Coturnix japonica: one gene and its partners. The protein of the gene in region 1 interacts with the protein of each later gene in a pairwise test. Links are inferred from orthologs where the notes say so. Each region holds a gene or a part of one and is shown in the gene's direction. Other genes may lie near its edges. The genes, in order: RHOJ, PAK2 and WASL.

Region 1 (4,386 bases):
TTGCAACAGTATTTACATGCTCATGGATCTAGCAAACTTACCCAATAAGGCTGGTGGGTTGGTAGAAAAGGCCATGTGATACTTAAATGGGTACAAGCCTGGAGTCTGCCCCAGCTACGATTAGAAGCTAAAAGAATGACAGCCTTTAATTCCTAATACCCCCTGAGAGTGCCTGGACTCTGTGTGCCCAGGACTCACAGGTTTTATTGGGTAAATTTCTGATGTTGACTGTAGTTTTGAAGTTAAAAGGATGGCACCTGAACTCCTAACTGGAGGAAAGCTTGCAGTGATGACCTGAGACAGTGGGTGCAATGCTGGGTCTAAAGCTCAGATCCCTGTTGTCAACAGAGGATGGAAAAGCTTATGACCATGGGACACATTGCATAGATTAGTGAATGACTGATACACACCTGATAACAGAAGGATAACTGAGAAAAAAGACAAATATTGTTCACCTTATTCACCGTTTTCATCCATCGACCACCTCTAGGGAAGGTGCTGAGAGCCTGTTCCATCGTACGGCTGGGTCCTTACAGAGCTCTGGCAGCACTGCAGATGTGGTGCTAAGGAGATTCATTACTAAAGTTACACTGGTTTTTACACTTCCAGGTGTGCATGGCCCAGAGGCTGTGTGAGCTTTTGAGCATTTCACGTGCAAGGCAGGAAGAGAGGAGCCTTTAGCACTGATGAGCTTCCCCTAAAAACCCAGTGGGTGTTGTTTCCCACTTTCAAAGCCTTTTAAGCTTATGGAAGGGAAATGTAGCCAGCAGGATGTGCTGAGCTACTGGGCTGGGGTTTATGTTGATGTCTGGCTCGTTTCTGCAGGAAAATGCAAAATCTTTCTTGTGGAAGGAACAGGGAGTTTGGCCCTTCATCTTGCCCATGTATAGACTGCTATATATTTAAACTGAGAGAAGCCAGGAGGCACATGAGAGACCAGAACAAAACTTAGATGAGGGGGCAGGGATCATGAAGTTCAAAGCTGTTTTTCCACATACCACTATGGGAATTTTGTATATACATACATATAAACACACTCTTATTTTTATTTTTTTTTTTTCTCCTCTCTGTGCTTATGCAGTAGGGGTAAATAAAATGACTTGGTTTTTTTTTTTTGAGTGGATGAGGGGGAAAACCAGGTGTACATTCTGAGTGTCTGACTAACCAGTAATTAGTTATTGCAAACCAAGTTTTGTTGTTGTTGTTGTTTTAAGAGCTATAAGAACAGAGCAAATTCACATTAAACTCTCCTTACTTGTTCCCACATCCCCTCCTGTCTCCCACGTGTAAGAAAACACCGATATGGGATCAGTGGGGATTATGCCCAGGACACTGCTGGGGTAGCACATGGCTCCCAGAATTACCATGCCCCCCATGGTCCCAATGCCTCTCTGAAATCCTCCCCATCCAAATCAGTGCCAGCAGCCCTGAGTGCAGCCCGGGCACGGGATGGAGCAGGAAGCCTAAAAACTTCAGTCTGCAGAGAGACCTCTAGTGTTATTCTTTCTCCACGTCCTGGCAGAGTTCCTCCAAAGTACAAATACACACAGAGCTCCCATTGTTTGCAGCCCTTCACAAGCCCACTGATCCTAATATGGAATTCAGCAGGAAACCCATGATTTCCTGACACACAGCAAGCTGGAGAAAGAAAGGAAAAACTCCATTAAAAACCTCCAGGCTCTCCTCCATGTTAGAAATGAGATGGAAAATGGAGTGGATTTAACAGGAATCCCCGATTCCTGCGGCCAGGCGGGAGGAAGGCAGACACGAATCCAAGCCGCAGGCTGCTGATACTTTTTAAGTTGCAATAAGTACGGAGAACTGTGGGGCAGGATGAGGATTTCCTGACTCGGACGGACAAGAAAGGACAGATTGCTTTTTCACGATACTCCTCTCCATGAATTTAATCTATTCACCTCAATGATTCTCTGGACTGCTCTGGTAATTGTTAGAAGCAGCTGTGACAGCCTGGAAACATTAGTATGATTTCCTGAGCTTGAGTTCTACCCCCCCCTCCTCTCCCTCCCCTTCCCCAACTACTCCAAACTCAGGAAAAGTCCATACAATCGCACTTCATTTCTCCTTCATGTGCACTTGGAAGCCTCGGGAGCAGCAGGAGCAGCGGCAACAGACGCAAGGATGAGCTGCAAGGCAGAAGGTGACAACTGCACGGATGGAAGCAGCAACAGCACCAAGAAGATGTTAAAATGCGTGGTGGTTGGGGACGGGGCCGTGGGGAAAACCTGTTTGCTGATGAGCTACGCCAATGATGCCTTCCCCGAGGAGTATGTGCCCACCGTGTTTGATCACTATGCAGGTAAGCATGAGCTTTAAAAATACTTAATCGAGAGTCAGGTGGGAGGTGAAAGAGGATCAAGGATTGGAGAGGGTGGTTTGAAGGCAATGCACGGGTTACTGCTCTTGAAGGAGTGTGATTCAGACCTGGATGGTGGCCAGAGGGCTTAGATGGCAGTTCATACACTTGGGGCAACGTGGGATTTACTCAGAGAACTTGCTTGCTTCTGATTTTTAGTAAATAAGCAACGTTAGAGACACACTGGATTTTCAGGAAAACAAACAGAATTCAGCCAGTCAGATTATACTCAGCTGCTTTGTTTGTTGTTGTATTTTTTATAAAACTCCTGAAGTCCTGAACTTTGAAGGCTGAAAGCGGTGACAATTATATTTATGCATGTATACATTAAAAGCATAGAATCATTAAGGTTGGAAAAGATCTCTAAGCTCATCTATTCCAATCATGCACCTACTACCAATATTGCTCACTAAACCATGCCCCAAGGTACTACATATACACCATCTGCCATGAAGCAAAAAGGGTATAAGTTATAATATTTATATCCTATTTAGGGAGTGATCTCTAAGAACAGCAGCACATCTCTGAGTGCTGTCAAAATGTAATTCTCCTTTCAGAGCCATTTGTTGCTCTGTCTATAAATAGAATTTAATGCTATGACTTGGAGGTGGGGGAAGCAGAAGGGGTGATTTGTTTGAGTGCTTTATAGGGAAGGAGTTTTTCTTTTTTTTGTTAATTAAATGAAAATACAGATCTAACAAAGATCATAGATGACGTTCACTACATCATTGTGCAAAACAGACCAAGTACCACATTCACAGGCCTCTGTCCTTAGCAATTACTTTACCCAGCTGTGTCCAAAGTTACCACCCAGATGGTGTGACAGCCTAAAATCGTTGCTCAAACTACTGCTTAAAATTCCCTATCCCAGATCCTGCTGTTTTTCTTATCTCCCTGCTCCTTTGGCTTATAGTTGTTGTTTTTAAGATCTCCTCCAAGAACGGATTTTAGCACTGTGAAACTTGTGGCTTTTTGTGCAGCAGCTGCTGGAGTTTCCTTCATTCTCTCTCCACCTCCTTAAAAACTGAATTTTCATGGCGTGGCTTATCATAGATTTGGTGTTCTGTAATGGGAAAATCTCTGTTTTCATTCTGGCTCCGTGTCAGGTTTAGCAGATGAACTGGCCAAACAAGAAAGCTGTGTAATTGCAGGATCTGATCCGTGGAAATGTGAAGACCTTTTTCTCCACAAGAGTGGGCAGTGTCACTTCTAATGCGAGCAATGCTCTCTTTTCTCTATTACTCCCTCCAGACAAATCAAAGAAACGTTCTAGAAAAAGCCTTTACCCTGAGGTGATATAAGGAAGAACACTTCACGGTGTAAATGAGCACTTCCACAAGGGAAAAGCCGCCGGCAAGACTGCATAGATTTATGTCCCACATTGTGATAACACCCACATACTTTCCCATGATAAACAGAGATCTGTTTGTCCCCTAAAGCTTTGCCATACAGCAGTTCACCACTCCCAGCACCCTCTGCAGTCTGCCAAGACCTGTAAATACCTCTGCATATGGAGAAACCCATATGACAGCTGGTCCCAGCCGATGACCTGTAAGTTAGGTGGCTTTGATATGAGCATGGGGGCTGTGTGCACATCCAAGTGTTGATGCCAGCCTGGGTGGGAGCGCCAGGCATGTCCCTATTTGGTAACTTGCCAGAACATACCTTGATTTTGTCTATTCTCTGTTAGAAATGGTAGGAATTGCCAAAGGGCTCAGAAATTGCTGAGAAAAGGACAGGCAGGTGGAGAGTGTCACTGCATAATTCTCCTTTCCTTTGGGTAACAGGTAAAGCATTCGGCTTTTAAATCAAGCTACATTTTCAGGCTTTGAAGATTTAGACCTCTAAAAGCTCTCCAGCTGCTCTTATTTGCCTTCTAAGCTGTGATAGCAAATAAACACAAGCTAAAAATGTTCTTGATAGCAAAGTTCAGAAAGATAAGAGAAAAAATAGCTCTGTGTATTAACATGCTATTCTGAGGCAAACCCTGTCCAGAGCCAATGGCCAAAATG
Region 2 (3,646 bases), on another chromosome or scaffold:
GGTGCCTAACTGGGTTTTGTATTTACAGTTCAGCAGAAACGGGAGACAATTTGCAGGGAATGGGGAAAAAAATATCCCCAAAGCAAACCTTGTGCATTGTAAAATATCTGAATGTAATTCTCTGTGGGTTGGATTGTGTATATGGTCCCTCTCATTATCTGCTTGTGGTGTTTCTTAGATTTGCTTTCTTGTCATTAATTGGTCTGAGGCCATCAGTTTTTATCTTCACTGAGGAAGGTATAGTTTGCATTAATTACCTTGAATTGAAGCAGTGAGACAACCAGGTTTTTAACTGTCTTTAGGGTGAACTTGAGATTTCAGTTTCCTTCAGCGCTGTTTTAAATCCATGTGAAAATGGTGTTTTTTTCCTTTGTGAATGTTTCACGTGTTCCAGAGCTCCTTGTGCTCTGGGGCTCATAATCCTGCCACAGCACAGTGATTGGAGTGAAAGGAGTTGGTGGTTGTTACGTGAAGTCTCTGCTTGAAGATATCAAAGTCCTGTACTGTGTGTGTAAACTCTGCCATCCAGCAAAAAGAGTAACAGTTGCATTTGTCTCAATCCTTTTACTTGGATTTCTTACATGAAATGGTGACAGTGGGACTTTAAATCATTACTCAATAGATCTCTCCTTGTATTTTCAGGAAGCAAGAAGAAGGAAAAGGAACGACCAGAAATCTCCCCGCCGTCAGACTTTGAGCATACTATCCACGTTGGCTTTGATGCTGTCACTGGAGAGTTCACTGTAAGTCGCTGGGAAGGCAGCTGTGGGTCAGTGCTACAGAGAACATAGTGGTATTTTAGAAGGAAGAGTTAATCTCTTTGTTCTCATCGAAGAAATAATTACGCTGTGTATTTATAAAGCACACAAAATAATGAGACTGACCTGTTGGTGTTTCTGCAATGTCAGGATCACATCCAGTGCTTTGTTACCTGGGAGAGCCTTCCTTAGGAAATGCTGCAAGGAGGGAAACCTCCCTTTTCAGTTCACTTTCAATAGTTTGTAATCCTGGTGCTGTTGAGTGCTTCTGTGTTCCCATTCATCCTGACAGACTGAATATGACTGAAAGGCACTGTGGGCTGGAGCCCCTGAGTGCTTGGGATGCTGAGGCATCTGGGGCTGTTTCAGCTGTGACTCTGTTTCATCACCTTTATAAGTCTCTATCACACATTTTGGTGTGCTTAAGGCCGTACATGTTATGCTTTGCTTGGAGGAAAGAAGATTGTTCTGTTTTTTAAATGGCTTTTCATTTCAGGGAATGCCAGAGCAATGGGCTCGGTTGCTACAGACCTCAAATATCACCAAGTTAGAACAGAAGAAAAACCCTCAGGCGGTACTAGATGTGCTGAAGTTCTACGACTCCAAAGACACAGCAAAACAGAAATATCTGAGCTTTTCTGCTCCAGGTGAGATGCACGCGTGCACAGAGCATACTGAAAGGGGAATTGGCTGTTCCTCTTTGTGAACTGAAAATGAGATTGAAAAGCTGAAAGAGCATCCTATTTTTCAATAAGAAACAAACATTTGAAGATGGATTTAAAACTTACTGGAAACTGTCTTGGTCCAGTAAATTTCCCACTTTAAGTGGAAAGAGAAAGAAATGGAACTGGATAATTCAAAATAACAGCCAAAAATAAGCACAGCCCATTAAAAAGCTGGGGATATGTGACTGATCAGCTGGTTTCATAGTGGAGAACTTGCTCCTCTGGTTTGTGATTGAACTGTGTGTCTAGATGCTTGTTATCTGTGAACTTACCTGTTTCTATTACCCACATGATGACACCAAAGATGCAAAATAAGTCATTGCTCTAGGACAGGAGCCACGTGATGGGGCTAGGAGAGCGACTGTCCTACAAATGCACACAGTTCCTTTAATGCAGTTCCCTTCCAAATGACTCGCAGTCTGAAAATAGCTTAGTAATAAAGCTTTGTAATGTCCTCATCCTTGTCTCAAAATACAGCTCATGGAACACATGTATCAATTTAATCATTAATTCACATCTCAGTAAAACAAGGGTGGCGTGAGTGTGATGAGCAGTACTGAGTCTAGAAAACTGTGCAGGTGAGGTAAAGAGCAAGTGGGGAAACAAATAGTGCTGTCTACTTTAGAAACTTCCTTCTGCATGGAGATAGGGTGCAGCACTGGTTTCTTTCATTTGTTACTGTCTGATTTCTGAGAGATGAAGGAATCTGTGAACAATCCTTGTTCTTTGTGCTGTTTACTTTCCATTATAATTATTTTTTTTCTGAGGATTTTGTCTTTTTCATTCTTTCCTATTTAGAAAAAGATGGATTCCCTTCAGGAACACCAACGGTGAGTGAGTTTACTTTACTTTGTCTCTTCTTAACCACATATTATTTCAGGTCTCCTGTATTTGCTAAATACCAAATCTTAAATAAATTATAATAGGTTACTTTTACCAATCAGCCTATGCTTTTCTTTTACATGAGTAAGAATAGCCTTATATTTTATAGGAGAACAAAAAAAAAAAAAGAAACCCAAACAAAATACAAATATTTAACACTGCGGGGGAAACAATTTTTTGTGTTTATATTTGTGTTTTTTTAAACTTTGGGAAAAAAACGTAGACCAATGCCAAAGGTTCAGAGCCATCAACAGCTGTGGCAGATGATGATGACGACGATGAAGAAGCACCTCCTCCTATTATTGCTCCGCGGCCAGATCACACAAAATCGGTGAGCAGCTATAAAGTTTATGGTGTTAAGCTTCATTTCACAGAGCTTTTGTTTTCTTTGGATTATCTTGAACCACCCATCTTGCTAAGTCTCAGGATTCCCTGATTCATTTGACCATGGTGGATGTACATACAGTTGCTCTGCTGTGTCTGCTTATTTTCACTCCAGGAGCACAGCAATGTGAGTTATCTCTACTCATCAATTGATACTGATTCTGCTTCACATAGACTGAAGCTTCATTTCTAATCTTCAACGATGAGAAAAGGCTGCAGTTTGGTAATGCTGCAGTAGTTGTTTGCAGCTGTGAACTTGTGTTATTTTTCAAATGCGTGGCTATTGAACAGCTCAGAAGGAAACAGAATAAAGCTCTAAGAAAATCCCTGGGACTGGTGACAACTGAGAAATTCATCTGAGAATGATGCTTTTCATGCTGAAGCACAAATCTTTTTTTTTTTTTGTCTTTTTAGGGGTAGTTGTCCTCTCTGTGCAATATTGATTCCTATTCTGTTAAAGGTGAAAATTGCAGCAGTGAAGTAAAAGGAAGGGCCCTTTCAACTATTTATCTAGCATGGATAGCAAGTAGAAAACCTAGAAATGTCTATCTGTGGCAGTTTATCCCCAAGCATCCATTCTGGGCAGAAAGAGTTTCCTTCTTTCTTTCAGAGGCCAGTTAGGCTTGTCAGCATCTTGTCTTACTGGAATGTAATGCCTAATTTCTGGCTCCAAGCTGTTAGGTAAAGTGGCACTTAAAGATCTTAAAAAATGTGTTTTCTACTGAAGGTCTGTGATTGTAAATGAGATGCACAATTTAAATGAGTGAATGTTCTCTCTTAAAAACAGATTTATACACGATCTGTAATTGACCCCATCCCTGCACCAGCTGGTGACGCTTCTGTTGATGGTGGGACAAAGTCAAGTGATAAGCAGAAAAAGAAGACCAAAATGTCAGA
Region 3 (4,099 bases), on another chromosome or scaffold:
AAAGTCCCTGATCTTTCAGCCTTCCATCACATGGGAGACGCTCCAAGCTCCTCATCATCTTCTCTCTCTAGAAGTTCCCTGTCATTCTTGAACTGAGGAGTCCAGAACTGGACACCACACTCCATTGGCCTCATCAGGGCAGAGAGGGAGGATCACCTCCTTCAGCCTGCTGGCCACACTTTCTAACACACACCAGAATCCCATTGGCGTTCACCTTTGTCCTCAAGAAGTGTGAGCACTACTTCCATACAGTCAAAGCCAGGCTGGGCACACAGCAGCTGAGCTCAGTGTCTTTGAGCTTCGAATGCCTTCAGCATTCGATACTGATGTGTGGGGTGAAGCAGGGCAATAGCTCTGCTGCCAACAGGCACTGCCTGCACACGGCATTTCTTCCCAGCATCTTCCCCCTGGGAGCTCACAGTTCCCAGCGCTGCTCGCAGTGTTTAACCTCCAGCTGCACGGAGGGCGATGGCTGACACCCACTCCGCCCCCCGTTTGACTGTGCAAAGAGAGGGAATTGCTTCTGTACAGCAAGAACGCATCATTAACCCCCAACGTAACACAGCATGCGGTAATGCAATTGATTATTTGCATGGTGAGGCACAAGGAGACATTCTCCTTCCAATGACAAAAGGTCACAAAGGTTTTTGAGTTACAAATTAAACCATGCTTCACTCTAAACTGGTCAGGAGCTCAGCTCTCGAGGTGCTGCACTGCATGAAGCCGGGCTGCCCCGAGTCGCCACTGTACTGTGGAACTTCACCTAACATTACTGCCGTTTGCTGACAGCTCCTAGCAGAGACCTCCTTTCTCAAGTGAATGCACGGAGGCCCCGTTAGTGCTTTCAGACCCGAGAGCTTTTCAATCAGCGAAGGGCCCGGCCGGCTGCCCCCGCGGCCTCATGAGCACTGCATCCCACGGTGCCCCTATCTCATTCCTCGCTCCTTCTCCCTCCTCCTCCCGTCGCACTCCCCGCCCCGCAGCAGCCGCCCGGCCGGCCGTGCAGGTATTGCGGGCAGGTATTGCGGGCAGGTATTGCAGGCTGGTATTGCGGGCAGGGCAGTGCGGGCGGCGCTCCCCGGCAGCTGGCGGGGCGAGGAGGGGCCGGATCGGAAGGCGGCGTTGTCCCGCACGGCGCATGGTCGCGGCGGCGGCGCTCTCTCGCTCTCTCTCTCTCTCACGGCCTCCCCTCTGGCTGCCGCGCTCTGTGGTCTCGCCCGCCCCCGCTGCCATGTTGGATTGTGCGGCCGCCGGAGCCGGGCCGAAGTTGGAAGTTTAGTGCCGCTCGGAGGGGCGGGAGCCATCGGCTGCGGCGCGGAGCTGCCTCCTGCTCGGTGCCCCCCTCCGCGGGCCGCTTTCCGGGCCCCCCTACCCCTCCGCCTCCCTCCTTCCCCGGCCTCGAGAGGGAGGCTCCGCGATGCGGCTGCTGTGAGTGAGGCCGCCGCGGAGGAGGAGGAGGAGGAGGAGGAGTAGGGGGCCGCGGGCTCCAACGGTCGCAGGGCAGCGCCGTGCCGGCCCGGCCATGAGCGGCGCCCCGCAGCAGGCCCCGCAGCCGCGGCGGGTCACCAACGTCGGCTCGCTGCTGCTCACCCCGCAGGAGAACGAGAGCCTCTTCAGCTTCCTCGGCAAGAAATGCGTGGTGAGTGCCGTGTCGAGCCGAGGGGCGGCGGCGCTGCCCGGCCCCGGCCCTTCCCACCCCGCGCGCGGAGGGCCGGGGCCGCGTGAGGACGGCGGAGGGTTGCGGCCGGGCGCTGCTCTCCTCCCTCCCTGCCCCGTTCCGTCCCTGCCCCGTACGCGGCTCTCGCACGGAACTTTGTCCGGCCCGGCCTGGCTCTCTGCCCGGTTGGGGGCTTGGCGGCAGGGCCCGGCCTCTGCCCGGAGCGTAGGGGACGCAATGAATGGCGGCGGGACCGTTCGCTCGAACCCTCGGGCCGGCCTCACCTCTCCGCAGGGCGCGCGATGGGGGCTCCGAGCCGCCTGGGCCGGGGCTGCGGGTGTTGCGAGGAGCCGAGCTCCGCTCACCCCTCACACCGAGGGGAAGCTTGTTGGGGCGGCATGGGGGCTCTACACGGCCCCGGGTGCACCTGCGGCACGACAAAGCGGTGGAAGGCCCGTGTCCGCACCGGGCCTGCCCTGCCCCGTACTTAGTCCGTGTGCTCAGGTGCTGCGCCTCCAGCTCTAGGCTCAAAATAAATCAATAGTCATAAGGCAACACAGCAATCTAAGCAGAAAAACCTTCTGGTGAATGCGTTCCCAAGTATGTCACTGAGTTCTGCATTTTTGGAATACCCTCTTGCATTTTAATGTAGAGTTGTACTCATCTGCGTTTATAAAACAGCGACAGAAACTGCTTGAAGCCTTTAAAAGTTAGCTGCAAGTTTTAGGAGAAGTACAGCTCATCTTAAACTTTCTGTATTTTTTGAATAAATGCTCCTCTTTTACTTTCTGTTTTTCAAATGGCCACTTGAAGCCATTCAGAACTGTGACCTGAATGTCTTCTGATGCTTTGTGTGCAGTGCTGGGTTACTAATACAGGCACCCTGATGTCCTGCTGTCATGCAGTGACAGGTACGTCATGAGCATGAGCTCGTGTCTCAGAGCAGGATATCAGCACGGCCGCAATGCTTCTGCATAACTCTGGACTTTGAAATGGTGTTGTTGATCGAACTGACTCCTGTAGGAGATGCAGTAGCTGAGCAGGAAGTAGGCGATGCTGACGTTGGGTGAGTTAAATAGGATGTTGTCGTAGTAATTACACTGGAATGGGTCAGAAGATGTGATCGTGAAACACATCAAGAGGGGCTTTGTTTTGGAAAGCAATAAATCTGTAAGAAATCTGTAATCAAGCTGTTTTTCAGGCACACATTTCATGTGTTAAATTCCTTTGCAGAATAGTAATAATAATAAAATAGTAAAACTCTAAATTACAAAAGCACATGAATTTGTGTGAGTTTGTTTTTCTACAACTCAGAATTTCTTGTCAATGGAATGCGTTATGCTCAGCTTTAACACTCACCTACTCAAGTTCTCAACTTTCTGCATAAATAGCACTTAAGGCAGACTTATATCAGCATAGTACCTGGGTGATGTGATCTGTGGCGTGTTGATAGCTTTGTAGATGTGACTCTCTTCATGTTTTACTTGAATTTATGCATCCTTAAGGCTTCCACTGAATTTTGGATGACATTCCAGTTAAAGCTTTCCTGATTGTCCCAGCCACTTCCCTTTTGTCCCTTGTCCCATGTAGTCTCCAGGTTAAGCATAGGCTCATGTTGTAGTTGGTCTCTGCTGTATCCTTGAGGGCTCGAGTCCAGAAGCTCCAGAGATCACAGAATCACAGAATGACCCGGGTTGGAAGGGACCTCAAGGATCATGTAGTTCCAACCCCCCTGCCTGGCAGGGCCACCAAACATACACCTTTACTAGATCAGGTTGCCCAGGGCCCCGTCCAACCTGACCTTGAACACCTCCAAGGACGGGGCATCCACAACCTCCCTGGGCAGCCTGTTCCAGGGCCTAACCACTCTCCTAGTGAAGAACTTCCCCCTAACATCCAACCTAAATCTTCCCTCTTTAACTTAAAACCATTTCCCCGTGTCCTGCTATTGTCAGCCCTTTCAAAGAGATAAACCAGACTTGTTGGGCTGAGCCAAAAAGGTGGCAGTAGGGAAACTGATTCATGAGCAAATCTAGTCTCTCTGTCACAGGGATGGCAGCCTCTATCAGAACAGTGAAATGGGCACGGGGGATGGTCTCTGCTATCGGGTTTGAATCCAGAATGTCGGATCAGAGTCTAATGGCACTCCTGGCACTATCGACCTTCTGACTTGACTGTAACTCAGTGTTAGCATGCTGTGCTGATGAGTGCCATCTTGCTGTAATACACGTGTTATTTGATCTCTTAATATCCATGCCTGAATTATTCATGAGCAAAACTTAATAAATGGTAGGGGAGGAACAATATTGCAAGTTTCTTAGGATGCTACAAGTTCGCTTTCGCACAGGCTGGTCCATCTGTGTTCCCAGACTGCTGCAGGTGGTGCTTCTGCTGGTTCAGGGCATGGGTTTGATGCTGTGCGTGATGTTTCTGCCCTGCCAA

What was found.
Region 2: the proteins of RHOJ (region 1) and PAK2 interact in binary tests that used the Homo sapiens proteins (3 or more experiments, as listed by UniProt). The two-hybrid records come from large-scale screens. The link is inferred for Coturnix japonica from reciprocal best matches to the Homo sapiens genes RHOJ and PAK2.
Region 3: the proteins of RHOJ (region 1) and WASL interact in binary tests that used the Homo sapiens proteins (3 or more experiments, as listed by UniProt). The two-hybrid records come from large-scale screens. The link is inferred for Coturnix japonica from reciprocal best matches to the Homo sapiens genes RHOJ and WASL.

What each region holds. Positions count from the first base shown.
Region 1 is NC_029520.1:48,610,073-48,614,458, reverse strand, and holds the start of RHOJ (rho-related GTP-binding protein RhoJ), read left to right. Parts: upstream 1-1,521; 5' UTR 1,522-1,941; intron 1,942-2,101; 5' UTR 2,102-2,139; coding exon 2,140-2,317; intron 2,318-4,386.
Region 2 is NC_029524.1:3,542,825-3,546,470, reverse strand, and holds part of PAK2 (serine/threonine-protein kinase PAK 2), read left to right. Parts: intron 1-642; coding exon 643-743; intron 744-1,254; coding exon 1,255-1,405; intron 1,406-2,281; coding exon 2,282-2,313; intron 2,314-2,588; coding exon 2,589-2,696; intron 2,697-3,536; coding exon 3,537-3,646. UniProt on the Homo sapiens protein: Serine/threonine protein kinase that plays a role in a variety of different signaling pathways including cytoskeleton regulation, cell motility, cell cycle progression, apoptosis or proliferation.
Region 3 is NC_029516.1:20,092,241-20,096,339, reverse strand, and holds the start of WASL (neural Wiskott-Aldrich syndrome protein), read left to right. Parts: upstream 1-1,158; 5' UTR 1,159-1,522; coding exon 1,523-1,639; intron 1,640-4,099. UniProt on the Homo sapiens protein: Regulates actin polymerization by stimulating the actin-nucleating activity of the Arp2/3 complex. Involved in various processes, such as mitosis and cytokinesis, via its role in the regulation of actin polymerization.